Pelodiscus sinensis: one gene and its partners. The protein of the gene in region 1 binds, or shares a complex with, the protein of each later gene. Links are inferred from orthologs where the notes say so. Each region holds a gene or a part of one and is shown on either strand. Other genes may lie near its edges.

Evidence for each region.
Region 2: SNRPD3 (region 1) and SF3B2 share a complex: the UniProt entries of both Homo sapiens proteins name them as parts of the minor spliceosome. The link is inferred for Pelodiscus sinensis from reciprocal best matches to the Homo sapiens genes SNRPD3 and SF3B2.
Region 3: SNRPD3 (region 1) and SART1 share a complex: the UniProt entries of both Homo sapiens proteins name them as parts of the U4/U6-U5 tri-snRNP complex. The link is inferred for Pelodiscus sinensis from reciprocal best matches to the Homo sapiens genes SNRPD3 and SART1.
Region 4: SNRPD3 (region 1) and SNIP1 share a complex: the UniProt entries of both Homo sapiens proteins name them as parts of the minor spliceosome. The link is inferred for Pelodiscus sinensis from reciprocal best matches to the Homo sapiens genes SNRPD3 and SNIP1.

Annotation. Positions count from the first base shown.
Region 1 is NC_134725.1:6,973,815-6,981,216, reverse strand, and holds the start of SNRPD3 (small nuclear ribonucleoprotein Sm D3), read left to right. Parts: upstream 1-4,400; 5' UTR 4,401-4,424; coding exon of another isoform or gene 4,425-4,470; 5' UTR 4,471-4,539; exon of another isoform or gene 4,540-4,545; intron 4,546-6,856; 5' UTR 6,857-6,880; coding exon 6,881-7,006; intron 7,007-7,402. Other genes in the region: protein GUCD1, read right to left, coding at 3,588-3,648. UniProt on the Homo sapiens protein: Plays a role in pre-mRNA splicing as a core component of the spliceosomal U1, U2, U4 and U5 small nuclear ribonucleoproteins (snRNPs), the building blocks of the spliceosome.
Region 2 is NC_134721.1:32,231,676-32,239,019, forward strand, and holds the start of SF3B2 (splicing factor 3B subunit 2), read right to left. Parts: upstream 3,001-7,344; 5' UTR 2,808-3,000; coding exon 2,693-2,807; intron 2,517-2,692; coding exon 2,470-2,516; intron 1,045-2,469; coding exon 967-1,044; intron 573-966; coding exon 321-572; intron 1-320. UniProt on the Homo sapiens protein: Component of the 17S U2 SnRNP complex of the spliceosome, a large ribonucleoprotein complex that removes introns from transcribed pre-mRNAs.
Region 3 is NC_134721.1:33,049,079-33,057,066, reverse strand, and holds the start of SART1 (U4/U6.U5 tri-snRNP-associated protein 1), read left to right. Parts: upstream 1-4,977; 5' UTR 4,978-5,039; coding exon 5,040-5,361; intron 5,362-7,961; coding exon 7,962-7,988. UniProt on the Homo sapiens protein: Plays a role in mRNA splicing as a component of the U4/U6-U5 tri-snRNP, one of the building blocks of the spliceosome. May also bind to DNA.
Region 4 is NC_134735.1:9,846,411-9,854,003, reverse strand, and holds the start of SNIP1 (smad nuclear-interacting protein 1), read left to right. Parts: upstream 1-4,589; 5' UTR 4,590-4,706; coding exon 4,707-4,882; intron 4,883-5,489; coding exon 5,490-5,592; intron 5,593-7,593. Other genes in the region: DNALI1 (axonemal dynein light intermediate polypeptide 1), read right to left, coding at 48-212, 608-786, 2,162-2,331, 3,384-3,523, 4,057-4,137. UniProt on the Homo sapiens protein: Required for pre-mRNA splicing as component of the spliceosome. As a component of the minor spliceosome, involved in the splicing of U12-type introns in pre-mRNAs. Down-regulates NF-kappa-B signaling by competing with RELA for CREBBP/EP300 binding.

The DNA of each region.
Region 1 (7,402 bases):
AGTGACTGGGCAACAAAATGGCAAATGAAATGTAATGTGGATAAATGTAAAGTAATGCACATCGGGAAAAATAACCCCAACTATACATAGAGTATGATGGGGGCTAATTTGGCTATGACAAGTCAGGAAAGAGATCTTGGAGTTATCGTGGGTAGTTCTCTGAAAACTTCCACACAGTGTGCAGTGGCGGTCAAAAAGGCAAATAGGATGCTAGGAATTATTAAGAAAGGGATAGAAAATAAGACCCAGAATATCTTACTGCCCCTGTATAAAACTATGATATGCCTACATCTTGAACACTGTGTACAGATGTGGTCTCCTCACCTCAAAAAGATATTTTGGCCTTGGAAAGGGTTCAGAAAAGGGCAACTAAAATGATTAGGGGTTTGGAACGGATCCCATATGAAGAGAGGTTAAAGCAACTGAGACTTTTCAGTTTAGAAAAAAGGAGACTGAGGGGGGATATGATAGAGGTATATAAAATCATGAGTGGTGTGGAGAGGGCAGATAAAGAAAAGTTATTTATTAGTTCCCATAATAGAAGAACTAGAGGACACCAAATGAAATTAATGGGTAGCAGGTTTAGAACTAATAAAAGAAAGTTCTTCACACAGCGTGTAGTCAACCTGTGGAACTCCTTGCCAGAGGAGGCTGTGAAAGCTAGGACTATAACAGAGTTTAAAGAGAAGCTAAATAATTTCATGGAGGTTAGATCCATAAAAGGCTATTAGCCAGGGGATAGAAGTAGTGTCCCTGGCCTCCGTTTGTCAGAAGCTGGAGAAGGATGGCAGGAGACAATTCGCTGATCATTGTCTTTGGTCCACCCTCTCCGGGGCACCTGGTGCTGGCCAATGTCGGCAGACAGGCTACTGGGCTAGATGGACCTTTGGTCTGACCCAGTACAGCCTTTCTTATGTTCTAAATTAGCCCAAATGTGGTATCCTTCCACACATTAGTATTATAAGTCCTCTTGCTACCAACCATACTCAAGTGCTGTACTGGGACACTTGAGAAACACTTGTTATTTTGTTCCATTAGCAGATTATGTTTCTCAGCATAAAATTTAGTTTTTTTTTTAAAAAAAGAGGTAAATTTCCAAATTGTTAAAGTAAGTTAACTATTAAGTGTCTGGTTTAATCTGACACTATTTCTCTGTCACAGGTCTGGCCAGTTCTGCAGCAAAGTCATCCTTGTATTCCTTATTAACTTCTTAGTTCTTACTAGGCAGATCCACCTATTCCTGGTCACAACTTCTGTAGGATGATGAAGTGGTAATAAAAACCTAAGAGACATGTTGAAGAAGCAATAGGTTTTCATCTTTTATTGTGGTGAGCCTGAAATGGAGTCTCTGGATTTAAACAGATTTTGTAACTGTGGCAATTTTCAGTGCAGTCTAACTCCATCAAAGATGTGCCTAGACACAGCGTTCATCCAACAATAAAACATACCATGCCACAAGAAAGTATTGAGCCTGTGATCAACAGGAATAATAGGAGGACTTGACTCACTGAGAACACTACACTGAGCTCCAGTAGGAGAAGTTGAGTTAGTGCGATGTCAACTGTGTCTTCAGAGTTAGTGTAAAGACCAGTGTAAAGACAGGAACAAGAGGTCTTAAACATGTGAATTAGTTATGGTTATCAGCAACTCCTCAAGGTTGTGTTTTAACTTGATGTAATTTTCTAGGAAAGATATGCTCAAAATGCTTTTGGCAGAAAGAGGCCAACATGGATTTTGGGGTCTCCTTCCACAGCTTCTCAGATTTCTATGTACCCTACACTTTCTCATCTTTTTCCTTGTGGCTTTGAAAACTAGTGTACTTGCCAAGGACATCAAGTGTCTTTAGTTAGTCTATGGCTGGCCAGTACACATCAACATGCTAACTCATTATCCTAAAGGAAATGCTAATCCTCAAAGTTCTCTCACATTAGGAATTATGAATCATTTGTCACAAATTTCTGGTGATGGACTATACTAATCTCATTTTCCACTAACCACTTTACCCCCACTAGGTCCCTAAAAGAGAACACATTTTCTTCTATAAAAATTTCAAACAGTAATAACAAGCCTATTGTGTCAACTAATTTCCTTTGATTTATTGCGTTTCCAGCCATACTGCCTTGTCCTCCACTCCCTTTGCCACACCAGCTTCACATTACTTTTCAAGCTCCCTAGATGAGAATGATTACCAGCAGTTTTAGGATAAATGAAGTGACAAAATATGCTCCCCACAATAAACTGAACAGCAAGTCACCTCCAATTTGATAAATGCTCAGTGTGACAGATCCATGAAATGTAGCCACTAATTTAGGAGACAGCACTACCCTTAGCAACATGGATCTTAGGCAGGTACAATCAGTAATCCTGATCTGACAGACCTGCAAGTACATGGAAGACAGATCCTTGAAGATCTGCCTGTAGCTGGTTAAAGACACCTTGGCTACGTCTACACTGGCGCATTCTCTCACACAAACTCTTTTGCGGAAAAGTTCCTCTGAAAAAGCTCTTCCAGAAGAGAGCATGTACACTGGCATGTGCTTTTGCGCAAGAGCATCCATGCCAGTGTAAATGCTCTCTTGCTCAAGAAAACTCTTGATAGCCATTTTAACCATAGGGCTTTCTTGTGCAAGAAATTCATGTTGCCTGTCTACACTGGCCTTTTCTGGAAGAGCTTTTGCACAAGAGGGCTTACTCCTGAGTGGGAGCGTCAGAGTTCTCGCACAAGCCCTGATTTTATACATTAGAACATCAGTTTCTTGCACAAGAACACATGGCCAGTGTAGACAGGCATCAAAGTTTGCACAGAATGGCTGCTTTTGTGCGAGATCGCATAGTGTAGAGACAGACCATATGTTCCTGGAACAGTGGTATTTTCACACAGTGATAGAGCACTACCATCTTTCCAGAATGATACAGGATTCTTTTCACTATACATTCAAAAATCCAAAATGTTCTGCTGGAAAATACCTATCTGGTATTTATATACAAGTTCTCACATTGAATCCAGTTCAACATAGGGGCTGCGTCTAGATTGGCATGATTTTCCGGAAATGCTTTTAACGGAAAAGTTTTCTGTTAAAAGCTTTTTTGGAACAAAGCATCTAGATTGGCACAGACGCTTTTCTGCAAAAGCACTTTGAGTCCGTGCCAATCTAGACGCGCTTTTCCGCAAAAAATCCCCAATCGCCGTTTTTGCGATCGGGGCTTTTTTGTGGGAAAAAAATCTGAGCTGTCTACACTGGCCCTTTTGCGCAAAAGCGGGACTTTTTGCCTGAATGGGAGCAGAATAATATTTCCGCAAGAAGCACTGATTTCAGACAGTAGGAAGTCAGTGCTTTTGTGGAAATTCAAGCGGCCAGTGTAGACAGCTGGCAAGTTTTTCCGGAAAAGCGGCGGATTATCCGGAGAAACTGGCCCGTCTAGACACAGCCAGGGAGTAAAGGGGTAACTGGTTTCCTGGTAAGCATTGCTGTACTGCATGCTTACTGGAATGACTAGATAACGCCAGCTGGAGCAGCTACCTGCCGTGGCAGAGGGGTCAGGCTCACAGTGCCGCAGCGGGTTGTCCCGTCCTGGCCAGGCCTTACCAGGCAGAGGGCTGCTCCAGCGGGGCCTGCCTGTGTGCAGGGCGGGCGGCTGGTCAACCATTCAGTTCAAGGGTGAGGGCTTTGAACTGGACGCTCCTTCCCTCAGGAAAGCGGGGCCCCTCCTCCCAGCGATTCCCAGCCGGACACTCCCGCGCAACATCCCGCGCCCCCCTCTCCGCAGAGCCGGGGTGTCTCGTGCGCCGGGCCCCGCGCTGCCGGGCGAGCCCCGGGGGGGGGGGGCCGATCTCCCGGGGCGATTTCCGCGCTCGGGGCGGCGGCCGCGGGGTCACGCGCCACAGGGCGCGCGCGCGGGGGGAGGGGCGTGTCCGTGGCTCCCACGCCCCGCGGGGGGGGGGGGGGAAGGGCCGCGCCCCGCTCGGAGGCGGCTCGGAGCCCCGGGGCGCCGCTCGGCCCAGCCCGGGACACACTGACCTGAGGGCGGCTCGGCGGCCTCCGTGGGGCTTTTCATGGCGGCGGGAGGGGCCCGGGCCGCTCAGCGGGCGGCCCCGCGGGGCCCCCTCATGTCCCGGCGCTGCCGCCGGGCCGGGCCGGGGCGGGCGGGGAGCTGCAGCGCCGGGCCCGGCCCCTCAGGCGCGGCGGGGGAGCGAGGACGAGGCGGCGAGAGCGGCGCCCCCACCCCGCGCCGGGCGCGGCTCACCAGGGCCAGGCCGCCCCGCCCCCAACTGTCAGCCGCGCGCGGCCCCGCCCCCGGGCTCGTGCGGGGGGGGGGGGGGGCGGGGTTTCCCCGGCAGGCGGGACGCTCGCGGCCGGGCGCCGAGGCCTGAGGCCGCGTGCGCGCAGCAACCGTCGAACTGGAGGGGGAGGGGCGGAGCTCACTTGGGGCGGCCAGGCCCTTCCGCATCCGGCCGCGCGCGCGGTGCATGGTGGGACGCCGGCCATTGAAGAGCGCTAACGCGGAGCCCACGCCGCAGGGAGACGTGCCTCGCCGAGCGTAAGTGGCGGGCGGGAGCAACCACCCAGCCCCGCGTGCGGGGAGCCGGCCGGGCCTGGGGGGGGGGGGGCTCTGCTCCTTCCCCTCCCCCCCCCCCGCACCGGCATTGTGACCGCGTGGGAGCGGCCGGGCCCGTCGCGCGGTGACTCCCGAGGGGGGGTTCGCGCCTCTAGGCGGGTCTGCCCCTTGGCTGGGCTGTGGGAAGCCCCGTGCAGTGAGATTGACCCCCCCGCGCGGAGCTGGGCCCGGCCCGGCCAAGGCAGCCGCGTCGCCGCCGGGGGGGGGGGGGGGGCTCTCGCGTGGGGCGGGGGCTGCGGATGGAGCAGCCTCTCGATCCCCTTCCCACTGCCTTGGATGGCAGCAGCAGGGCTGGGGGAGGCAGGGGGCACTGCAGACATGGTGCTGTGGGCACTGGCTTTCAGCCTGGCTCCCACCAGCATTGGCTGCACTTCTTCCTCCCTATCCCCCTCCCTCCACTTGCTGCCTCGTAAGCCAGCAGCCAATGCGCCACTCAACTACCCCATAAGATTGTGCTGATTAGGTAGTCAACTAACACCCCTGCTGGTCTAGGACACGTTACTTAATTATTTGTGCTCACATGAATAGTTGACTTGAAGTCCATAAATGCATCAATAAGAATTTGCAGCATTGGGCCATAAAGCGTCTCAGTGGCTTTGACACATCCTTTTCACAAGGACTTAACAAGACTTTGAACTTTCTCACCCATTACCAAGACAGTTTCCCCAATTATCACCTGTAATACCATTAACTCACAAACATCCCACTCTCCCTACCTTTAATATCAGCAATTCACAGACACTTACCTTCCTTCCTTCCCCCCCCCCCCCCCGCATCCCCCTCCTGTTCTGCAATGTGATTTGTCCTTTTCATATTTGTTCATTTTTTTTAATTGTTTCCTTTGGTATATATGGTTGTGACTACTTTCTTCCACTATTTGATCTGAGGAAGTGGGTCTGGCCCACGAAAGCTCATCATCTAATAAACCATCTTGTTAGTCTTTAAAGTGCTAATTGTCCTGCATTTTGCTTCAGCTACCCCAGACTAACACAGCTACATTTCTATCACTATTCCTTTTCATAGGATACTAGGTGAATACTTTTTTCCTAGCTGCTTAGCCTTTTTTTCAAATTTGAAAGAGGTCATGTCTTTTGTTACCAGCTTCAGTTAGTAAAGGAGACAAGCTCATGAGCTACATAGTAGCGATGTTTTTTTTTTTTTTTTAAAAAGAGGTAATTGGGCAAATGTATAGCCATTGAAAACCTCAGTGGTTACCTGCAGCCTATATTGTTATACTTTCACATCCCTGCTACATAGAGCTCTTCTTCTGTTAATAAAGATACTGCTTTTCTATCCAATGTGTTGGGACTAACATGGCTATGAAACCTCTTTCCCGGATGATAAGAGACAGAAGGGTAGCCAAGTTAGTCTTTAAGGTGCTTCTAAACTATTTGATATTTTTTAAATTTTTCCTGTTACAGACTAACAAAACATGTACATGGTATCATGGGCTTTTGTGGGCACAACTCACTCCTTGAAGAAGGCATCAGTTTCTTTAACTTAAAGGAAAATAGTCTGGGGCATAGCCATGTTAATCTGTAACTTTAGAAAAGTAGTTCTGTGGCACTTTCGTATCATGAGCTTTTGTGGGTTAGACCCTCTTCATCAGCTGCACTTCTCTGATGCCACAGAACTATTTGTTGTTTTTAAAAGAAAATATTATTTTCCTTTCTTTAGTAGCAAGCTAGTGTCTTAGCATTGCTGATTTCTCTGCTTTGGTATTCTTAAGCCAGTTTCATTTTGTTGGTATAGACCATCAAAGTTAGAAGAGTTGAGTAGATGTAACTAAAACGATATAGAAAAGAGCCTCTCAACCCTCTTTTGTGACTAACTCCTCAAGTTCCTCAGTGTTTCTTCTGAAAATATAGAAAATTTGAACTTTTTCTTCCCCATCTTCCATGGCACTTGGAGATGTCTCATTTCTTTCCTTGCTACCAAGATTTTGAGACCCAACATGGTCTTTAAAATAAAATGGTTTGACATTTATATAGCTGTTCAATGTGTATAGAAGCCTTAATTCTGATGACCTGTTCTGTGAATAGTTAATGGTGGCAAAAATTCTATTTGAGCAAGCTGACACTTTTCAAGGACATTCAATTTATAGGGGGGAAAAAACAGGAGCCAGTAGTTTTGTATTCTCTGGATTAAAGCTTTTATAGAAATCTGAATTGTGTAGGCAAAGTTTCTGGATAAAGAAACTTACTGTGCTCTTCTGCTTTTTTTTGTGTGTGTCCCCTAGTTTTAGAGAAGTACTACTGCAAAGATGTCCATCGGAGTTCCAATCAAAGTGCTGCATGAGGCAGAAGGCCACATTGTGACATGCGAGACGAATACAGGGGAAGTCTACCGTGGCAAACTCATTGAGGCTGAGGACAATATGAACTGCCAGGTATGTCTGGGAAAAGGAATTATGCATTTTTGGAAAGGTCCCTCTTTGTTGCTTTTTAACTTTACTAAAAATTGACATCTGAGAATAGACGAGAAAGGTGGGTTATCATGCTCTGTAGCTTTGCCAAAGTGAAATAGTCTCACCTGTGATCTAGAGGGGACAGCTGATACTTTTTGGTATATAGGGAATGTTCCTAATATAATTTATGCGTTTTTCAGAACTCGGTTCTATGCCTAATTTGAGGAAATTGCATTTTGCTCATTATTTCAACAGCTTCTCTTGAGTGCTACATGCTCAATTCTAATTGATTTTTTTTGAGCTAGAGTTTTATGTTCAAATAACAAATCATTCACTTTTCTCATGAGAAATTACTTTTGTAATCTAATGTGTAATTAC
Region 2 (7,344 bases), on another chromosome or scaffold:
GAGGCCAAATGGCAAAACAGTAGCTAAGATGCAACCAAGATGCCAGGATTAAAAAGCCCAGGCTCTTGACAAACAAAGTGGCTGTTCTACATAACCTAGCAGATATCCTGCAGCACAAGGCTAACCACACTGCAGCACTCACTGCCCCCCAGGTCTCTGCAGCACAGCACCTGCTCACACCACACAAGGGCACTTAGGTCAGCACTGAGACAGGGGAGAGCCAAAGACGGAACCTCTACAGCACAGCACCCCATAAGCCACCCTGGAGCCAGCACTGAAGGACAAAACCACTACCCCACTGCCTGCAGTACAGCTCTTACCTGTTTAGCCCTCTCTTCTTGCTGCATTAGCATGGCAGCCTGCTGCTGCGCCAGCTTCAGACGATCTTCCTCTGAGAGCGCTGAAGGGTCCACGCTCTGCATGCGGAGGGGGGGCCCCATACCTGGGGGAGGTGGAGGGGGCCCCACGGCCATAGGGAAGTTGAGGCTGATGCCAGGGGGAGGCGGTGGGGGTGGTGGAGGCTGCATGGGTGGCATCCCCATGGGGGGTGGGGGCAAGGGGATCCCAGAGAGCTATAAATGAGAGAAGAGATGACGAGGTAAAGACCAACACAGAGTGTGAAGTATCACAGATTATTTAAACCAAGATCCATCACCCAGCACCGAGTTGCTGCACCCGAATGCAAATGCAGCAGTACCAGCTCAAGAGCCACTCAGCACTGGTGAGCATGAGCAGGAAGCTCCTGGATCCCAGAAAGAGTGGGATGGATTTATGAAAGTAGAACAGTATTGCTCTTCAGGATGCTGGGGTTAGCAACAGCTCCTGGCAGGAAGTACCAACTGAAGTCAGTCACCCAGACAGCCTCCTCTCAACATAGGAAATCTACAGCAAGACAGCCAGTCCCTAGGGAAGCCCTTGTGGCTTAGCCAGGCCAAGATTCCTCCTCTCTATGACCCCTTCACTCACCTGTCCGGGTATTGGTGGCGGGGTGGGTTTGTCACCGTCATCTCCCCTGAGAGACGGCCTGCTCAGCACGATGCCAGTCTGTGGAGGGAGGACACAATAAATATAGCTGCAAAGCAAGTGAAAGTCTGTCCATTGGGGAGCTTCTCTTAGAGGCCTCACTGACATGCTCTGGGTCAGGAAAGGAAATCCAGGCCCTGGGGAGACCAACTCTCCATCACCACAAGGACAGACAATAAGGTGGAGCTCTCCAAGCAAGATGGAACCTGCAGATGCTGCACAAAGACCTTCACAACACAAAATACCACAACCAAGACAGAAATCCAGATGGGGATACTGATACCAAGAAGGCCCAGGGCCATGTGGCACAGAGATGGGGATAGAAATAAAACCACCCCCAGTAGTCCAAACATCAGCAGCCCATCTCCCACCAGTGTGCAGAACAGTTGTCCTGATTACCAGGGCTCGACTATCTATGTAATCTACTCGCCATGGGCGAGTAGATTACATCCCGGAAGAGCTGGATTCGGGCGATCTGCAGCTCGGTGAGCCCTGCTGATTACTATCAACATCCACAGACATACTGGGGTGGAGAGCAGAGGCCACAACAGAGCACTTGCCATTATCTCTCTGCTGTTGGGCGGGAGAGTGGGCTAGTCAAACCCTGCTGTACCATGTGACAGGAAGGAATATAGTAGCCCAGATGGAGCCTTAAGGACCCTCACTAGGACAGAGCACCCTCGTGGCATCTGAACAGTGATGTCTATGTCACTGACGTCCTCCACCTCACACAGCTATAGCACCCACACGTTCCAGTCTTATGAGGAAATTCACAATTTCCTTTAAGTCATTAGCACCCATGATGGTTCAATCAGGGGATGGTCACAACCCAGCTTACAGTTGAAGCTGAGTGGTACCTCTCTGGCCCTTGTTAACACACTATCTGAACACCTTCCACTTGTTAATTTGTTTATTCTTACAGGATGGCAGCACTATTAGCCCAATGATACAAATGCCAAACTAAGGGCCAAAGACTCTGGGTGATTCACCTAAGGTCTCCCAGGGAGTCTGTAGCAGAGTAGGGACTAGAGCCCAGGTCTCCTGAGCCGCAGCTGATGCCCTAACCACTGCATCAGTCTTCACTACCTAATGCTGCTCATTTGCTCTAATGCCAGGGAATGCAGGCTGCTTGCCTCTTGGTTCCTAGTCAATGTCACTAATCACAAGGCTGTGGAGTGTGTTTACTGCTCACACTGTGCATGTGGCTTTGGGGCAGTGAAGGTGGAAGACCCCTCTACCATACCCACAGGTCGTGTGACACCACAGTGCACGCCAGGCAGTAAAGTCTCCCACTGCAGGTTGCCAGCCCTAGGTTCGGGGCTCCCTTTAGATCCCTTTCAGCTAGAGGAGAGGGGTGGGGGAGTTAGGGCTGGCGCTAATGGCCCGGCCAAGGGGAGGCCATGTCTGGTGGCAGAGCGGGTCTCCTCCCCCATGCGAGTAACTCACCTGCAGCGTGTAGGTCTGCAGCCTCTCCACCAGCTCCTCGCGGCTGCCTGGAGGATACAGATGAAGCGTCAGAGCCACCCTGAGCCACCACCAGCCGTTTGCCCCGCCCGCCCCTGCCCCCCGGCAGCGCCAAGCAACGCCCCCCCCCCCCCCGCAGCCCCCGGTATCTCCCGCCCCATTCCTAAGCACCGCCCTCGCCTGAGCGCCCCCCGCGGGGCTGCACCTTGAACCGGGGCCCCGATCTCCGCCAGCTTGGCCTGCAGCTCGGCGGGCGCCCAAGCCCCGTAGGCCGGCAGCGGCAGCTCCCCCTTCGGCGGCTCCGGGTGCTCGGTCGCCATCTTCCCGCCCGGTCGGACCCTGAACAGCCGCCGTAGGCGACGTCGTCATACGTCACCACGCGGCGGGCGGCCCGCCGCTAAACAGAAGAAGCGCTGCGTTCCGGCAATGTACGCCGCGGCGGCGCATCCAGCGTAACGAACGTCAACACGCACAGCCTCGCGCGCCGCCTTCTCGGTATCGTAGACCTTAGCGCCTCCGCAGCAAGCAGCATCAGCGCGCACGTGGCCAGTAAAAAGAAACGAGTTACCGCGCTGTCCTCTGGGAGTTGTAGTTCTAAGGCAAGGAGGCGCTGACCCCGCCCACCTCAAAGAGCTTTGCATGCTGGGAATTGTAGTTCTGAAGAGATGGAGTGGCCAGTGTGGGACTAGCCATTTTCCAGATGGTTTCAACAAAAATACCGGACACATTTTACATTACACCACACTCTACATTACATCTTCTTTAGAAAATACCAGACATTTATATTTTCTCATCTCATAGAATCATAGAATACTAGGACTGGAAGGGATCTCGAGAGTCATCGAGTCCAGTCCCCGACTACTGTCTAGACCAGTGGTCACCAACCAGTAGATCCGGATCTACTGGTAGATCTTGGAGCCTCGGACAGGGGATCCTGACTGGTTTGGGCAAGAAGCTATCAAGTGCCGGCACTTCAGCTGCCCTCCACCCCCACTGCTGCCCTTCTCCTGCCGTTTGTCTTGGAGCTGTCTCCTCAAGAGCCTCCTGCTTACTGGGCAGGGGAGGGAAAGGAGGATGCTTATGTCAGGGAGCCCCCTCTCCCACTCTGTGTCCTATCTCCAAGGGCATAGAGGGGGCACAACAAGTCTTGGGATGGAGTTTGCCGGCTGCTTTTGCTTGGAATGGAGTTTGCTGGCCGAGCAGGGTCAGGGCAGGGGTGAGCTTGCCTTATACCCACTGCACCACCACCCAGGAGCCACCTGAGGTAAGCAGGGCCCAGCTGGAGCCCACATCCTGAAACCCTGCCCCAGTCATGAACCCCCTCCTACACCTTAAGCCCCTGCCCTAGCCCGGAGCACTGCATCCAAATGCCCTGCCGGAGCCTGCACCTAGAACCCTTTCCAGCATCCCAACTGCCTGCCCCAAGCTCAGCTCAGAGCCCCTCTTACACTCCAAATCCCTTAATTCAAGTCCAGAGCCTACACCCCTACCCTCTGTCCCAGACTGGTGAAAGTGAGGGTGAAAGTGAGCGGGGAGGGCGGGGCCTCAGAGAAGGGGCACAAAGGAGGCGGGGCAAGGGTATTTGGGTGTGATGTAGATCTTGGATTGCACTTAAATTAAAAAAGTGATCTCGTGCTTAAAAAGGTTGGAGACCACTGGTCTAGACCATCCCTGATAGAATTTATCTATCCTACTCTTAAATATTTCCAGAGATGGAGATTCCACAACGACCCTAGGCAATTTATTCCAGTGTTTCACCACCCTGACAGTTAGGAAGTTTTTCTAATGTCCAACCTAAACCTCCCTTGCTGCAGTTTAAGCCCATTGCTTCTTGTTCTATTCTCAGAGGCCAGGAAGAACAATTTTTCTCCTTCCTCCTTGTGACACCCTTTTAGATATCTGAAAACTGCTATCATGTCCCCCCTCAGTCTTCATCTTTCCAAACTAAACAAGCCCAATTCTTTCAGTCTTCCTTCATAGGTCATGTTCTCTGGACCTTTAATCATTCTTGTTGCTCTTCTCTGGACCTTCTCCAATTTCTCCACATCTTTCCTGAAATGTGGTGCCCAGAACTGGACACAATACTCCAACTGAGGCCTAATCAGTGAAGAGTAGAGAGGAAGAATGACTTCTCATGTCTTGCTCACAACACACCTGTTAATGCATCCTAGAATCATGTTTGCTTTTTTTGCAACAGCGTCACACTCTTGACACATATTTAGCTTGTGGTCCACTATAACCCCTAGATCTCTTTCTGCCGTATTCCTTCCTAGACAGTCACTTCCCATTCTATATGTGTGAAACTGATTGTTCCTTCCTAAGTGGAGCACTTTGTATTTGTCCTTATTTAACTTCATCCTGTTTACCCGAGACCATTTCTCCAATTTGTCCAGATCATTTTGGATGATGACCCTATCCTCCAAAGCAGTTGCAGCCCCTCCCAGCTTGGTATCATCTGCAATCTTAATAAGCATACTTTCTATGCCAATATCTAAATCGTCGATGAAGATATTGAACAGAACCGGTCCCAAAACAGACCTCTGCGGAACCCCACTTGTTATAGCTTTCAAGCAGGATTGTGAACTGTTAATAACTACTCTCTGAGAATGGTGATCCAGCCAGTTATGCACCCACCTTATAGTAGCCCCATCTAAGTTGTATTTGCCTAGTTTATTGATAAGAATATAATGCGAGACCGTATCAAATGCCTTGCTGAAGTCTAGGTATACTTGTCCAGCACTTCTCTCTTATCCACAAGATTTATTATCCTATCAAAGAAAGCTATCAGATTGGTTTGACATGATTTGTTCTTTACAAATCCATGCTGGCTGTTCCATATCACCTTATTATCTTCTAGATATTTGCAGATGAATTCCTTACTTACTTGCTGCATTATCTTTCCTGGCACAGAAGTTAAGCTGACTGGTCTATAGTTTCCCGGGTTGTTCTCATTTCCCTTTCATAGATGGGCACTATATTTGCCCTTTTCCAGTCTTCTGGAATCTCTCCCATCTTCCATGATTTTCCAAATTTTATATTTTCTCAATTTGTTTATTGAATAGAAAGCTCATATACTGGACTGTCCGGTTCAAAACCGGATACCTGGCAATCCTATGTGGGACTGCTCTGGGAGTGAGAGGGAAGCCTGTGTATTAAGAGCTGTGTAGCATCCGTGGGCGAGTAAACTGCTAAGCACCCAAAATGTTAACCCTTAACAGTTGATGCTTACTGGCTCCAGTTAACCAGTGGGGACTGCAACAGCTTCCTGCCTGCTGTGGGCAGGGGCTGCTCCACCCCAATAGGGCCCACACAGATAGGGGTAGCTCCAGCCCAGCTAGAGCAGCTCTTGTCTGCGGCAGGCCCAGGTGCATCACAGGCAGGGGCTGCTCCTGCCTGCAGCAGGGGCTGCACGGGCTCAGCCCAGCCCCCTTTAACTGGCTAAACATCGCATTTAACCAGTTAACCAATTAATCAGGATTTTACATCCCTATAAACTGCTAGATCTAAATACTGCCTAGTGTGTTCAGGGTTAAGCTTTAGCTTGTGCCCTTTTCTTTTGTTTTGTTTTGTTTTCTTTTCTTTCCTTTGATAACTAGCTCTGATCTCTCGTGCCTACCACTTATGATCACTGAAAATCTACCTTACTGTAGTTAATAAACCTACAACAGTGCGGTTTGGCTGAACAAGGCTACCGGAGCAAGATGGTACAGATGGTGTTCGAAGCTGGAAAGTTGTGGGGAATTGGCTGGAACCTGTCTATTGTTGGTTCCTGAGTGACTGACAGGAGCATTCATGTAACTCAGCGTGGGTATGGTCCTGTCCATGGAAGTCTGTGTACATGCAGTACCTACCAGAGGTTTGTGGCTTGCAAACGGCATCACAGTATAAGAGAGAGCCCAGGTTGATAGGGCAGAGGGCTCAGCAACATCACTGTTCAGGTTGCCCCTTGGGAACACTGTCACACCTACACACTAGTGGGGTGCCTTGGAAGCAACCAAGGAGGATATGTTTCACAAGGTGCTCCAATCCTCAGAGGAATAAAACAAGAAAGGATGTGGATGCATTGGAGAGGGTCCAGCGGAGGGCGACCAAAATGATTAGGGGGCTGGAGTGCATGACCTATAAGGAGTGACAGAGGGATTTGGGTTTGTATAGTCTGCAGAAGAGAAGAGTGAGGGGGGATTTGATAGCAACCTTCAACTGCCTGAAGGGAGGTTCCAAAGAGGCTGGAGAAAGGCTGTTCACAGTAGTGACGGATGGCAGAACCAGGAGCAATGGTCTCAAGTTACAGTAGGAGAGGTCTAAGTTGGATATTAGGAAAAACTATTTCACTAGGAGGGTGGTGAAGCACTGGAATGGGTTACCTAGGGAGGTGGTGGAATCTCCATCCCTAGAGGTTTTTAAAACAAAAGACAGAATTATGTAGCACTTTAAAGACTAACAAGATGGGCCCATGAAAGCTCATCACCTAATAAACCATCTTGTTAGTCTTTAAAGTGCTACATAGTTCTGTCTTTTGTTTCAGCTACGCCAGACTAACATGGCTGCATCTCTATCACTATTCTAGAGGTTTTTAAGTCTCTGCTTGACAAATCCCTGGCTGTATTGATTTAGTTGGGATTGGTCCTGCCTTGGGCAGGGGGCTGGACTTGATGATCTCCTGAGGTCTCTTCCAGCTCTATGAGTCTATGATTCTAAGAACACAGGGTGTGGAGAGAGACTTTAAAAGAAAACTATAAACAAGACAGACGGGAGATCCAGGAGCAAATTTTAATGAGCTAGAAACAGATAATAAAAGTGATGCAGAAGCAAGCAAACAGATGCAGCAGCCAATACAGAATTGTTTTCCCTGCCCTC
Region 3 (7,988 bases), on another chromosome or scaffold:
TAATGGGATTTCTCTTTGGGTATGTCTACACTTGCCCCCTACTTCCAAGTAGGGAGGCAAATGAAGCATATTGAAGTCGCAAATCAAGCCCAGGATTTAAATATCCCGCGCTTGATTTGCATGTTCCCAGCCAGTCGCCATTTTAGAAATTCACTAGCCCGGAGTAACTGCCCGCGTCTACACGCGGCAGTGAAACGGGAGTCCGATTTAAAGCCCTAGCTCAAATTAGCTGGTATTCCTCCTGCAATGAGGTTTACCAGCTAATTTGAATTAGGGGCTTTAAATCGGACTCCCGTTTCACTGCCGCGTGTAGATGCGGGCAGTTACTCCACGATAGTGAATTTCTAAAATGGCGACTGGCTGGGAACATGCAAATCAAGCGCGGGATATTTAAATCCCGGGCTTGATTTGCAACTTCGGTGTGCTTCATTTGCCTCCCTACTTCGAAGTAGGGGGCAAGTGCAGACATACCCTTTGTGTATAGATCTATTTATAAAGAAGAGAAGGGGTATGTCATTCAAATTATTCCCCACCTCTGTTGTGGTGTGAAGAAGAAATTATATAACTAACCCCCCAAGTACAATAGCATGTTCCCCTGTTACGAAGGCAGGACCTCAACAATAAGTTTGGCACAATATGAACTTATTACCAAAATGTCACTTTAGTATTAGTATTAGTATTAGTATTAGTATTAGTATTATTAAAGTGTCTAAAACACTGACTTTTCAACCTGTGATATGTGGGTCCCTGGGGTCCTCAGAGTGTGTCTAAGATTGCCAAAAGGGTCTGTGGCTGCATTTGAAAATGTTTAGAAGTCCACAAATGAAAAAAGGTTGAAAACCTCTACTCTAAAAAAATGACACTTAATTATGGTATTTCCTATAACAGAATTAATTCAGAATAAAACTGAGCATGATCTGGGTGTGGTGGCAGCAATATAAAGGGGTTTCTGAATGTCCCTTCTTGTCCACAATGTTATCAATCCCTGTGTACAGCTTCACTGATGTACTGGAGTCATTGAAGTTATTGAATTGGGAATAAGTGAATTTGGGATGATATTTCCTTTTAATAAACTTTCTCTCTGAAAATGACTGTCTGGTAAATATACACCAATCCAAGTTTACCATCATCTCAAAGGGCAAGATCATCTATCTGAGAAAAATCTCCTTTAGGAAAAATTTTCAGAATGGTATCAGTGTCACAGTCTCTCCCGCCACCATACTTTATGAAAATTTGCTTATGAGAATACATAACTCAAAGATAGGGTTGCCAGGTGTCCAGTTTTGAACCAGACAGTCCAGTATTTCACTTTCTGTCCGGGAAACAAATTGAGAAAATATTGGACATATAAATGTCTGGTATTTTCTAATTATGTTCTTATTATTATCATGAGTATCAGTACGTAGTTGCATACTGCCTAGCTGGTAGACATACTCATGCAGAACGCAACTATGCAGTAGAGAGGAGGGGGGCAGGGGTGGGATGGAATCCCCAGGGCCAGACTTGCCCGTGTGACCCGCCGAGACTGTGCGCAGGATGGGCAGCACCCTGGGATCTGCGTGTGCCTGGGCCAGCCCCACTCCCCGGCAGCCGGTTCCCAATCCTCCCATTCCCCCCTTCCCGGCCACCCCCGCTCCCCTCTCAGACGGTCCCTCCCCCCGATCTGAGATCAAGTATGTCTGGTATTTTTTTTAAACCATCTGGTAACCCTACTCAAAGATGTTTTATGCAAAATAAATAATGTGACATGTAATTTTAAAGTTTGTAATCCGCTGAAATTGTATATCCTATTTTTGGGTTTGTATCATTCTTGTATGTGGATCTGTTAATTCTAAATGTGTTAAAAAGGATCATTACTGATGCTCTGGAAACGTAATGACTCAGCTCTCAAACTAACGATCTGTGAATAGCCTTGTTTGTCCTGTGAGTCCAAACTATGGTTGATCCTAGACAGATATGTGGCCAGGACACTTGAGGCTGAAACCCATTTTGGATCTGGTACTTTTCCACTTAAGGTGAGAAAAGTTTGAATTGAGCACAAAGAATTCCTGCCTTGGGCAAAAGGAATATGGGCCAGGGCAAAGAATAGGGCAGTTGCCAGATGCCAGGAGACTCAGCAATTACCTAAGATGCCCGCTGGAAATATCTAGGACTGAACAGGGGGAAAGGATTGGGCCCATAATAGCAGGCTGCTTAGCTTGTGAAAGAAATGTTTAGATCAATTGTTTTAGGGTAAGAATTCACATGCAACACATTTCTTAGTATATCAGAATTAGCTGGGTTTTTTTTTATTTTAACTTTGTAACTAACTTTGATCTGTTTTCACTTGCAACCATTTAAATCTTACTATTTGTACTTAATTAAAAACATCTACGTTTATTACCAAGCCCAGTGTAAATAACTGTTACCTGGGGGATTGCAACTATATTCATATCTCTCTTTCATTGATAAAGTGGGCGGGCATCTTTACAAGTTTTCTCTGTGTAAAACTTTTACACAGGGGAAGACGAATTTGTTTGGGGTTTTGGTTCCTTTTGGGGGTTGGTTTTCTTGGTGCTAAGCCCTTATAACTGACTCTTCCCAGAGCTAAATTAGTTCAGTGTCAGTTTTGCTCTGCAGGGTGGGGCAGGAACCCCAATTCTGTGCCTTTTTTGGGGGAAACCAGAGCTTCTGGTCAAGCAAGACAGGGTGGTGAAGAGCCCCAGAAGGCAGGAAAGTGGGCATTATTGACATGATCAGCACACTAGGGGACAACCTCAAAGGGACGTCTGTAATCTAACCCATCACAATCAGATCTTGGTTTACTGGAGATATACACAATCCTTTTAATTTATTCCCAAGTCCAGAAATAATATTTTAGTTCAAGAATTTCTAACTATAAATCTGGAAGATAATTATCAACATCGGTGCACAAAACAGTGACAGGATTAGTAAAGAGATCCATAGTAGAGTTATCAATCCTAAAATTTTCTCAAACAGTGAAGAGTCACAGTGTAGCAAAAGGCAAATCCTTCTCTTGTACATATGTTAAGATGAAACACAATATTGATGAGGAAATCCAAGTCACTTATCTAGTCTTTGTCTTCAGTAAGTTTGTCATTGTCATTGTCATTGAGTTTATCCCTCTTTTCCAAAAAAGTTAGCACTGGCTTTCCATATCTCAGATTTTTTTGTGATCCTTTCCCTTTGACAGCCAATGAACATTCCAGTGGAGCACTAGCTCTTCCTGCAAAGCAATCCAGTGGGATATTTTGTGTTCATGGCTACATAGATTTATGCCAAATGCCACTCAAAATCAAACTTTTTTCATAGGGCTATAGTGTCACACAGTAACCCTATAGATTTAGACTCTTTTCCTTCTATAAACAAGAACGGGTTTTCCCAAGCCATGTTAAATTCTTTCCTTGCAACAGCATTGTCATAGATTTGTTTGGATGTGCTGGGCTTACTAAACAATACAGTTAAGTAGCTAGCTGTACAGAGTTCAAAGGCCTCACAGAACTATTATAAATCATGAGATGGATGAGATGGTTGGGCCTGGACTAAGGATGTTAAATATCAAGTAATTTACTAGTTGAGTAGTGGATGGAATTTTCATTGAATACTCCACTAGTTGATAGGCACTTCCACATTCCTCCTTTGAAATGTACAAGAGCCCCTGCTGGGGTACTCTGTGTGCAGCCTGGGGACAGCAGGAAGTCCCGCTGACTCTGGGCTGCACAAGGATATCAGCTTTAAAAATGCGCAAAAGTCCCCAGTGGAGGCTTTTGTGCATTTCAAAGCAGAAGCACCTGCATGGAGCCTAAGGTCAGCGGCAGACTCAGCGGTACGCCTAGAGGGCAGAGTTTTTCTGGGATACCAGAGGTATCCCAGAAAAGCTCTGCTGCATCCAAGCAATGCATCTGCTTTTAAAAAAAAATTTCAGAAAAGCAGATGCATTTTTTGGCATCCCTGTAAACCTGGTTCTGTGAGGAAGAAGGGATGTTCCAAAAGAGGCTTTTTTCCTGACATTTGGCCTGCTGTAGACGGGCCAATTTTCAGAAAAGCCTCTTTCTGAAGAAAAGTGGGAAGAAAAGTGCAATTTGAATATCTTTTGCTGTTAGAACTTGGTAGTGTAGACGCAGCTTCAGAGTCCACCACTGACCTCAGACTCCATGCTGCGCCACCTCTTTGAAATGCCATGCAGAGGCATGCCCCTCTGGCTGACCCCGAGCTTCATGCAAATGCCACCATGGTGCTTCAAAGGGGCAGTACTGCATGGAGCCCCGGGGCAGCTGTGTGCGACACTGCTTTAAAACGATGTGGCGTTTCAAAGGTGCAGTGCCGCACAGGTGAGCTTGGGATCAGCTGTGCAGTGCTGCCCCTTTGACAGAGCAGCACCGCACAGAGCCCATGTATGAGCCCTGTGCAGCATTGTCACTTTGAAGTGTCCACCCCTTTCTTCCTCCCCCCCTTTGCTGCCTCTGTCAAGGGGAGGGGGAGGGAATTAACTAGTCGACTGGACTATCTGATAGGCATTTGCTTATCAGAGAGTCAACTAGTCCTTAACATCCTTAGCCTGGACTCCATGGGAGCTAAAGGCCTTTATTTATTGGGGTTTTAAAAATTCTTTGACACTGGGATGCCTGCCACACCCTGCAATGTCTGCCAAGGGCAGCTAGAGCCACAGAGCGTCCGCCCCGCGTGATGTAACGAGGTAGAGAAATATGTGTCCTCCCCCTCCACTGGTAACTGCACATCCCAGTTGCCTGGGGGCAAAGACGAACTAGGGGACAACTTCAGCCAAACAGGAAACACACCCTCTTGACACGGAGGTAATAGCCTTGTAAACAGGAAGTGACGTACAAGTATACGGGCATTAGACAGGTCTGAACAGGAAGTAGCAACAAACGAGAAGTGACGTACATATAAACAGGAAGTAACCCATAAATTATCCGGAATTCGTGCGCAATGAGCCTGGACGAGCATGTAATGACCCGGAAGCACTGTAGCGCCGATCCCGGAAGTTTCGTGTTGCGTCGGTGCCATTTTGCGTCTCCATGGGCTCCTCGAAGAAGCACCGGGAGCGGGGAGAGACCGGGGGCTCTGAGGAGCAGCAGCCGCCGCCACCGCCGCCGCCCCCTGCTGCCTCCTCTTCCTCCTCCCGGCACCGGGAGCACAAGAAGCACAAGCACCGCAGCGGCGCGTCGGGCGAGCGGCGCGGGAAGCGCAGCCGGAGCCGCGGGGAGCGGAGCAGCCGGCGGAGCGGGGGAGAGGAGGCGGCCCGTGGCAGCCATGGCCGGGCCGGGGACAGGGGTGCCCAGGAAGCCGAGGGTCCCCGGCGGATCAAGCGGGAGAAGCGCGACGAGGGATACGAGGCGGGTCAGCGTCCGGGCAGGGGAATGGGGAGGCTATGGGACGAGCAGCCCGAGAGATTGAGACGCTTTTGAGGGGAGGACACCGGGATTCTGGGAAAGGGCCCAAAGGGAAGAAGTGTGGGGTAGAGGAGGAGGCAGCCATTGAGGGGCTATTGATGGCCGAGAGAGGATGGGCTGTCAGTGAGTGTCCGAGAGAGAGGAATTTGCGTGGGGGTGCTCTCGGGTTCAGCAGGCGATTATGGGAGTTAAAGATTGGCGTGTGACTATGGGGCTTGAAGAAGCGTTATGGTCAAGGCTCTGCGGCCCAGGGAGGGGATTGGTGTGGTAATGAGCTCAGGAATGAGTAGAGTAGTAGGCTTGGCGAGAGGTGCTCTGGGATGGCAAGTGTCTGGAGGTGTGAAGGTGGCTATGAGAGTTTGGATTGGCTGTGAGGTTTTATGGCGGGGACTGGCTGCTGGGGAGATGTTATGGAGGTCACGTTTTGGGAATGGGATAGGTGGGGGATCAGTGCATGTGCACCCTATGTCGTGACACTGAGGCATGAGCTTTAGGAGGGCAGGGGGCATGACTTCGTTGGGGGGTATTGATGAGGCATTCTAATCTGTGATGGTTTAGTGTTGGGCATGTGAAGTTTCATGAGATGGAGGAGGAGGAGTCATCAGGGGCTGTCCTGGTGGAGGTGGGGCATGAGGTTTAGGGAAAATGTAGACTTGCTGACTTAAGGGGTGGTGAGGTGAGTTTGCAGAAGGAAGAGGAGTGAAAGAGTAAAGCAAGGAGTGTGAACATGCACATACGTGTAACTTTTCATAAATGGGTTATGAAAGGATTTTGGAGCAGATGAAGTCAGGACACGTCAAGGCTGTGTCTACACTGGGCCGCTTATTCCGGAAAATCAGCCGCTTTTCCGGAATAAGCTGCGAGCTGTCTACACTGGCCCTTGAATTTCCAGAAAAGCAACGACGCTCTACTGTAAAAAATCAGCTGCTATTCCGGAAAAACTATTCTGTTCCCGCACGGGCATAAGTCCTTATTCCGGAACACTGTTCCAGAAAAGGGCCAGTGTAGACAGCCCAGTAGTCTTTTCCAGAAAAAAGCCCCGATCGCGAAAATGGCGATTGGGGCTCTTTTCCGGAAAAGCGCGTCTACATTGGCCACAGACGCTTTTCTGGAAAAAGGGCTTTTCTGGAAAAGCAGCCTGCCAATGTAGACGCTCCTTTTCTGGAAAAACTGAAAACGGAATAGTATTCCGTTTTAAGCAGTTCTGGAAATTCATGCCAGTGTAGACACAGCCCTAATGTAAAGGGGCTTCTTTGGTTGGTTATGGAGCATCTATGTATAAAGTGCCCTGAAAAGGTGTCTTAATCCATAACTCTAAGCAATAACTGTAATGACCTATGATTTGGATAGACCTTTTTTCTGGCAGTATCGGTTTAGTACATCCTGTTTTACGGTACCATATTCTGTTGTCATGGTATCTAGCCACTGACCTTTGATGCTCCAGAATAGTGCAAGCTATTCAACAGAATAACAGCTTGGTTCCCTCTGTGGGGATCTTTATTCCAGGTAATGGGCAGTACTATAGGAGACATGCTGAATTTTCAGGTTACTGTAAAGTGTGTCTGTCTTCACAGCATTGTTCATTATAAAAAGTGTATATGTCTGAGCTGGGTGGGGTCTTTGGTAAATGCTATGCAGGAGGTCACACTAGTTGATCAGAGTGGACTAGGGATGTCAACGTATAGTCAACTATATGATTAACCGATAAGCCTAGACTTATTGGTTAATCCTGTCAACTGCACACATTTTCCCCTCCCCCTTGCTGCCTCTGTATCTAAGGAGCTGATACAGAGCGGGAGCTGATAGAGGCAGCAGTGAGGTGGGGTGGGCTAGAGCTGATGTGCATAGGGAGCCAGCTTTCCAGCCAGCTCCCTGCACCTATCGGCTCTATGTACTTGCCTCCTACAGAGGTAGGGGGAAGTAGGGCAGGCAGGAGCCAGTGCTGGGAGGAGCCAGCAAGTCCCCCCCCCCCCCCCGCCCCGCTTATCAGAGGCAGCAGCGCAGGGGGTGGGGCAGGGGAGGCTTCCTCAAAGCAGCCTCTGTTTCTGGCAGGCTGAGCTCCCGGTGAACAGAGGCTGTTCCACATCCCATGGAGCAGCCTCTGTCTGTGGTGAGCCTGGACCTGCCACGGGCAAAGGTTGCTTTGCGGAAGCAGCCCGTCTGCAGGGGATCCATCCCACAGAGCAGCTTCTGTCTGTGAGGAGCTTGGACTCCCCATGGGCAGGGATGCTGCTGCCCCACACTGCTGCCTCTGCATTAGGGCAGCAGGCAGCTGGTTCACAAGAGGAGCTGGTACAGAAGCAAGACCTTGGGATGGCAGAGGCCTCCCTGGGAGTGGGTCTGGGAGTGCACTGGCTGCTGGCCCCAACCCTGGGGACTGTTGAATAGTCATGTAATCACTAACATTTCATGCCGTTACGTGACTATTTAATTGCAGGATAGCTAACATCCCTAGAGTGAACCCTTCTGGCTTTAACAAAATCCTTGTTTGAATACATTTTACTTTTATCTTGTTTACAAACATCTCTCTGATTTATCTCTAAACAGCTGCTAGCTCAAAGGCCAGCTTGGGGG
Region 4 (7,593 bases), on another chromosome or scaffold:
TTCAGTTTTTTCCTACTAAGGCACTGCAGTCAGAGTTCTTTACTAACCTTCAATTGCTGATTAGTGCGTTTCAAGAACTGCACCTCTTCACCATGTTTCTTCTCCTCTACCTGCCGCCTTTCACTTTCACGTTTTTCAACAGCTTCACATTTAGCTTTCTGCTCATTGACTTGTCTTTCCAACTCTCGCTTTTCATCTTCTAATTCTAGAATCTTATAAAGAACATAGGTATGCCTGGTAGTCATTGTTATGTTTTTAAATACAATTAAAATATAAGATATAAATTTTACTATCTTTGAAGAAAAAAATGATAATCGACAATTTGTCCATTAAAGCAGCCTCAGGAAATCAGCAAGATGTGTTTTGATCTTTACTGCCACCCAGTGGAACTAGAAAACTTTTTTAAAAAGGTAAACAATATTTTGAAGCAGTTTATTGATCAAATCAGAAAATAGTGAAGGTTTTGTTTGTTGATTTTGTTTGCAAAAGAAATTGTCAGAGTGCTCTAATAAATGTGAGAAAATCCCAATGAGCCAGGATGAGGAAGATGAGAAGCACATTTTTGAGCCAGATCATAGGTACACTATGAGTTTACAGCCTCACTTACTCTCTTTTCCATGTCAGATTTGCCCTGTTCAGCCTGTAATGCCTTCCTCATACCAAAGGCAACACTACTTTCATACAGTGTCTGATAAGCAGCGATGGTCATTCGGATTTCATCTCTGACTCGAAGCAGCAATAGTCCCCGCTCTGCACAGTTAATTGTAACCTCACGGATGAGTTCATCTTTAAATAAAAAAAGTGTAACAGTAAACAGAGAGAGAGAACGTTTACACGGGTTTCAAGACAAACATTTTGACATGGGTCAGTGTGCTTGGCAACGTAATTATGGCCATGACATTTGTGGTGTTCAAGACAAGGTAGTGTAGACCTGAAGTTTCCTATGGCTAATGAATAAAAAATTAATTATATTAATATATCTCTCTGACCCAGTGGCTGGTTTCTTCCTCCAGTCTCCATGGTTGGTCTGTGACAGCAAGAAGAGTAACAAGGTGTAACCAAGATATTTAATTTATTTAACATGACAATCTAATTATTAGAGCATGAACTAAGTGTGGTTGAATGAATTTTTCCCTCCCATGCAAATATGCAACCCCAGCTTACTATTCAATGCCCTGTTGCCACAGTGACACCTTCTCGGCATCAGCTTGTATATAGACATTTTTAAAAATATACTGTTCTGTAGACAAGCTAAAATTAAGAGGAAATACGCATGTGGCAACCATGCTTCATCTATATATGGTGGTGAGAGATGCAAGAGGGCTAATACAATATTTTTAGTAACAATGAAAGCTTTCCCACATGCACTTCCTTCTGCCAGTCTGTCTCAGCCCTGCACTGTAGGGGACTCATTAAAACCAAAAGAGGAAAATGTGTGTCCATTCTGACTGAGGGTTCTTTACTGAGACTTCATAAAGTAGCCTTCTTATGTTAATTCTGATGTGGATCTCTGCACCAAGAAATGAACTGAAATCAATAGGTCAGACAGACAGACATGGGATGGTAATGACCATAGTTCCTGCTAAGGTGTGCGCCTGTGTGGCCATGCACACAAAATTCTTCCCTCATCCCCCTCCTCTGGAGAGCTTCACAGCAGCACTCACGCAGCAGGTGGCTGCTCCTGTGGGTGGGGCCGGCTGAGATGACATGGTGAGGGAGCCACTGGGGCAGAGGGCTGGGACCTGGCAGCTGGGGCCAGGAACAGGACCTGCCGCATGGGGAGAGGGCTGTCTGCGCCAGCAACTGGGAATACGATATGCTACATGGCGGGGGGAGGGGCGGGTTTCTGCTCTGAAGGCTGGGAACATGTGTGTTAATAACTTGGGTGCCATAGTGGCACACATCCAAACCAGCGCACATGACCTCAGTATTGGTGCACAAGCCAAAATTCACTCTGCTCATGGTTGGAAAATCTTAGTGAGAACACTAGTAACGACTCTTATTCCTTCCTGACCAAGGTGGACAAGAATCCATACACGTTAGATAGAAGTCTCCACTTCCCATTCCCCATGTCCTGAGCTATTCAGAAACTTCTAGTATTATAGTATCCTTCAAACAAGCCTTTTGCTATAGTATCTTGGACCTAGATGTATTCACTGACCAAAGCATTGTGAGTAGAGTTCCCTGCGGACAGGACAAATCCCAGTTTCTCGAGCCTGCCTTTGCTGTAATTTGAGATCCAGCTCTTCCTGCAGATGAACTACATCCATTCGGGTACTGGGAGTGGTGGACACCTGCTGAATCCATAACTGGTTGTCTTCCACCCATTCTCTGCATCACAAAAGCAGCACAGACTAAATCAGCATATGCTTGAGCTCTCATTTCCACCACAAACTGAAGGAATCCCATATTTTGTACACAAAAGCATGCAATGCAAGCATGTTCTCCTGCTTCCATTGTCAGTAGAATCGAGAGATCAAGTCAGCACAGATTCTGTTGAATGTCCTGATCCCTAAACAAATGCTAACTTTACATCCTTCATTACCCCTACTGAACTGGTATTTCAACAACAGAGGAATTTGATAGCATTTTACATAGCAAGTAAAGAACTTTTAACTACAGGATACTTAGATAACAGTAAACATAGCTAACTGTTCAGAATGGCAGTGTTCAGATATCCAGGCATGCTACATGGGCATCAGGCAAGACACAAGACTTAAAAAGGCTTAGGGACTGCTGTTTTGTGGCTGATACTGCATGTAGTAATCTGAAACAGCAGAAAACATTTCTAGATTATATTACTTTTGAAACGGATGTATAATTAATCAAGGCCACTCACTACCTCATAGGTATTGAGGAAATTAGAAAACATATTATGTAACTACCACTAATCAGTCAGCACCAACTATTAGATGAGCCACATGCACTGACGGGAACAAATATTTTATTTAGCTAGAAATCCATCTCCCAATCTCTCCCCAACGCTATTTTGTGACAGTCACTGAGGGCAGGTCTACACTACAAGGGACAGGTCAATCTAAACTACTCAATTTGAGTTACATTAGCAGCATAGCTCAAATTGACGTTTAGATCTACTTACCATAGGGTCCACAGTGTGGGGAGTCAACTCAAAAGTCTCCCATTGACTCCCCTTATTCATCTTGTTCTGCTAGAGTACCGGAGTCAACAGGAGAGTGATCAACAGTCAATATAGTGAATCTTTACTAGTGATGGATCGATGACTACCGTGTGGCTCCACCTTATAGTGACATGCCCTGACTCCTAACATTCAGAGCCCCTCACTGCCTGCCCCCAACCTTAAAATTTCACACTGATGACTTCTCCTGGGACCATGGTGAAAGGGTGCAAGAGCAGTTTCTTGCCTTGGTGGCAGGATTGCATTTAAGATTTCTTCTGCCTGTTTTGTTGGATCTACAGCTGTAGGAGTAGTCTTGGGTTTTGGAGGAGGCGGCACAGGTCCAGTTGACACTGGCTGCTGAGGACTCACTTTCAAAGGACGCGCCTGCAAACAAGAAACATACCAGGGCTATAAAGGCACGGCACATGTTTCAGCCAGGGTGCGTGGGGAAACCACACAGGCTCCCCATGCCCTCATCTCATGCAATTCCCTCTCCAACAGAATAACCCCTAGATTTCCCAGTTTAGGTCTCTCACATGCTCCATCACTTAAATTTCTCCCGGCCCCCCCCATAATCCCTCTTTCCCCATGAGCCCCCAGTTCAACCCGCCCCCCACCTCCAGCCCCCCCTGCCCCCCCCGCTCATCCTTCTCCGCCCTCCACATAACACCAGCTCAATCCTGTCCCCGTGTACCGCTTCCCCATGCACCCCCACCCCCTCCCTATGCACCCCAACCCCTCCCCCCTCCCCATGCACCCCCCCACCCCCTCCCCATGCACCCCCCCCCCTCCCCCCTCCCCATGCACCCCCCCACCCCCTCCCCCCTCCCCCCGCACCCCACCCCCTCCCCACGCACCCCCATCAACCAGCCGCCCGATGCCCTCCCAGCTCGCTCGCCCCCCGGCAGCCCCTTTACCTTCGGGGAGCGCTTCTCCGGGTTGCGGCTCACCAGCACCGGGGTCTCGTAGCGGAGCAGCGAGTCCGCCGGGGGGATCATGGCGGCTCCGTGGCTCGCTCTCTCCCCGCAAGCCGTGTACCGTCACCATGGCAACAACGGGGCCGCGTTCCGCCGTGTCACGTCGTCACGAGGCGCCCCCGCCCGCCAGCGCTCGACCCAGGCTGCGAGAAAAGTGGACCGCGCACGCGCCGTGCCGGCTGTGGCGAGGAAAACGGGTCCAGCTGCGCATGCGTAGAGTGTAAAAAGCGAACTCAGGGCTGGCGAGGCCGGGCCACTCCCTCAGCCCAGCCAAGGCTGAGAGCAGCCAGATCGGCTGAGGAAGGCGCCGCGCGCCCAAGGCCACCTCACACAGCGCGTTGGTTTCCACAACGCCCGGGTTATTCACGCGAGGCCTCCCACGTCACCTGCTTCCCCCCCCCCCGCGCGCACACCCCTCAGGCCTGCCTGGCACGAGTGCTTCCGGGGCGCCGGGCACAGATGCCCCGGAAGCGGAAGTACTAGGCTTCTCGCTTACTCTTTGTGAGCGGAAGGGCCTTGCGCAGCCGCCGCTTTTCCGCTTGCCGGGGACGTGCGGCCGCAGCCCGGCTCGTGGGGTCCCGGCGGTAGCCATGGAGGAGGCCGAGCCCGAGCGACGGCGGCGGAAGCGGCGGCGACAGGAGCAGGAAGACGGGGGGGAGAAGCGGAGCCCCCGGCGCTCCCGCTCCGCCCGGGGTAGCCAGTCCCCGCCTGCCGAGCGGAAGCAGGGCCCGGCCCGGCCGCATCAAGCAGCCCAAGGCCGCAGCAGGTATCAGCCGCCTGCGCTCAACCCGCTATGGCGGGAGTGGAGAGCCTCGCTCGCTGTCTCGTGCGGTCCTTGCGGCTCCGCTGGACGCTGTGTGGGAGACTCAGGGCGCGCGGGGGAGAGCCCCCCCTTCCCCGGCCCCCCTCGGAGATTCCCCACTCCCGCTCAAAGGTTTCTCCCAGCGTTTCCTCCTCCTCCCCCACTTCTTCCCTTCAGACCGGTTGGTGTCCACCGCCCCCAGATACATAGAGCGGGGCAATGGCCCAATTGTTTTTCCTTCCGTGTGTAGAACAACATTTTGTGTGCATCGGAGCGTGTGCAGATGTGCACTGCTACATTGTGGGTAGCTGTGGGCCCTCTGCCAATCAGCTGGGTGGTATTTGAATCCTCTGTGCTGCAGCCCAAGCTCACAGCTTAAAGGGAACACTGCAACTGGGAGACCCTTCCCCACCACCTCATCCTTCTATGATACAATACAGGACAGTAGTAGTTACAGATTAAGGTTAAATTGTCAGGTGTGTTTTGCACAAGCCTTTTCCTTTCCTTTTTTCCTTGGGGCAAGAGTGGGTTGTGGACCCAAAACATGATTTTTTTTTTTGAATATTTAAAGGTCACCAGCAAAAAGAAAGAACAAGTCATCTGCTAAAAGAGGCAAGTCTCCAAGAAGTAAAAGAAGTAAAAGCCCTCATCATATTGTAGTCAAAGTAAAACAGGTAATTTGCTGGATATTAAGCACTAATGTCCTAGCACTGAAAATTATGCTATATGACTGAGGCATGACTTGAAATCAGTGGGCATCTGTTGAAACCAGTTGTCTGTCTGCTTAGATTAACGTGGGAACGCGATCTAAATAGGATGGTATGACTAATTTATCACTTGATTACCCTATTTTTTTATTATTTGATTATTTTTATCGTTTATTATAATTTGGACATTTAGGAACTTCCACCAACGGAGTGCTGTGCACACTACTAAGGCCAGAAAAAGTTCTGTCACTCAAGGGGATGGCATTTTTTTCCACACCAGTTATACTGTAGACTATGGATGTTAGTATGTAGCCATTTCCACAAATAACCAAGTTAATCCTGACAACTACACTTGTGCACACACCCCTTTTCTGCCTCTGTATCAGAGGCAGAGAGGGGGGAAGGTGGGAGCTGGTGCCTGGGGATCCACCTGCCCTCCTCACCCCTGCTGCTTCCCACAGCGGCTGGTATGCAGGCAGAGAGAGAGACAGGTGTGTAAACATGTAACCACTAAGAAATCTAGTGGTTACACATTTACACAAATAAACATTAGTTAACATCCCTAGTGTAGACATGTCCTAAATCATAAAATTGAGTGATTGTTGGGGATTATTTTCCCAACTTGAGTGTTGAAGAACACTATACAACAGTGTTACTCATGCACAGGGCTCGCCAAGCGGCGGTGAGCCCTGCTCGCCAGCCGCGAGGTTCTGCGAGCTGCGGATGCGCAGATCTCATGGTGCTGGCTGTGCCAGCTTGTAATCTACTCACTGGGGGTGAGTAGATTACATGATTTGTCGAGACCTGCTCATGCATGTAGGCCGTGATACCTTTCTTGGTGAAATTGTGCAAACAAAGATGTTGGGAAGTGAGATGAAACCGTGAGAGTAACCTTTTACAAAGTGGGTTCCATAATGGAATGTCTAGAAAACAGTGGCTATTGAGTTCAGCTACATAGTAAGATTTTATGCATGTGTTGAAACATGCAGAAGACTGAATAACCAAAATACACTATAATTTCTGTGCTCGGGGTGTTTCTAATTCAGCAACACCCATAATATGATATGGACCCTGGCAGGTGGAGGCAGAAATAGCTCTGTTGTACCCCCTCCTTCCCAGCTAGGGGAAACAGCAGTACAGGGATGCATTCTGCTGGAGGCTTTTTCCTGTTGCTCCCATGGGAGTGCCAGGTAACAACCCTGCTCCCATCTTCCGCATTCTTTCCTTGAGCTGACAAAATCTTTAATCCAGCAAAACCTGTTTCCTAGGGTTGCCATATTAAAGTGGTTTGAGTGTAGATTGAACCTCTAAAATCCTCATCAACAATCTTGGTTCGACCAGACCACAGATATTGCTGGACCAAAGAGTCCCAGCGGCTGGAAGCAAGAGGCCAGCCAGGGTCAGGAGCTCAGTTCTGGCCAGGGCCAGCCGCAGTAGGGCCAATGTGGCTGGGAATGCAACTCTAGCTGGGACTGACAGCACTGGGGCCAGCATGGTGGGAAACAGCCTAACAGCCAGGGCTGACACCCAGTAGAAGGGCCGAAGTGGAGCTGACAGTGGGGAGGGGAGCCTTGATCTCCCCTGGTCTGGCAAACTCTCTGGTTCAGGACCACTCAGATGCCTGAGGGTGTGGACCAAGGAGGTCAAACCTGTATTAGGAAAATTTGTTCTAAACATTGGTCTGTAATATCAGCAGTAGTTTAGAAACTTGGTTTAAGATGGTATTTTTCCATGTAAGGAAATGACCAAATTGTTAAGAGCATAGCAAATATTTTAATTTAATTTTTAGATTTTAAACTTTCCTGGCCAACAGTTATTTTTGCTGCCTGTACAGAACCCAGCATAATCCTCAGTGGGGAGTTCAGGGTTCTACCCTAATATCAGTGGTAATATATAATTTAAAATAAGCCAAGCACTAGTAAATTATATGTAAGCCAAGAACCTTTGCTTTTTAAAAGAAAGTAACTG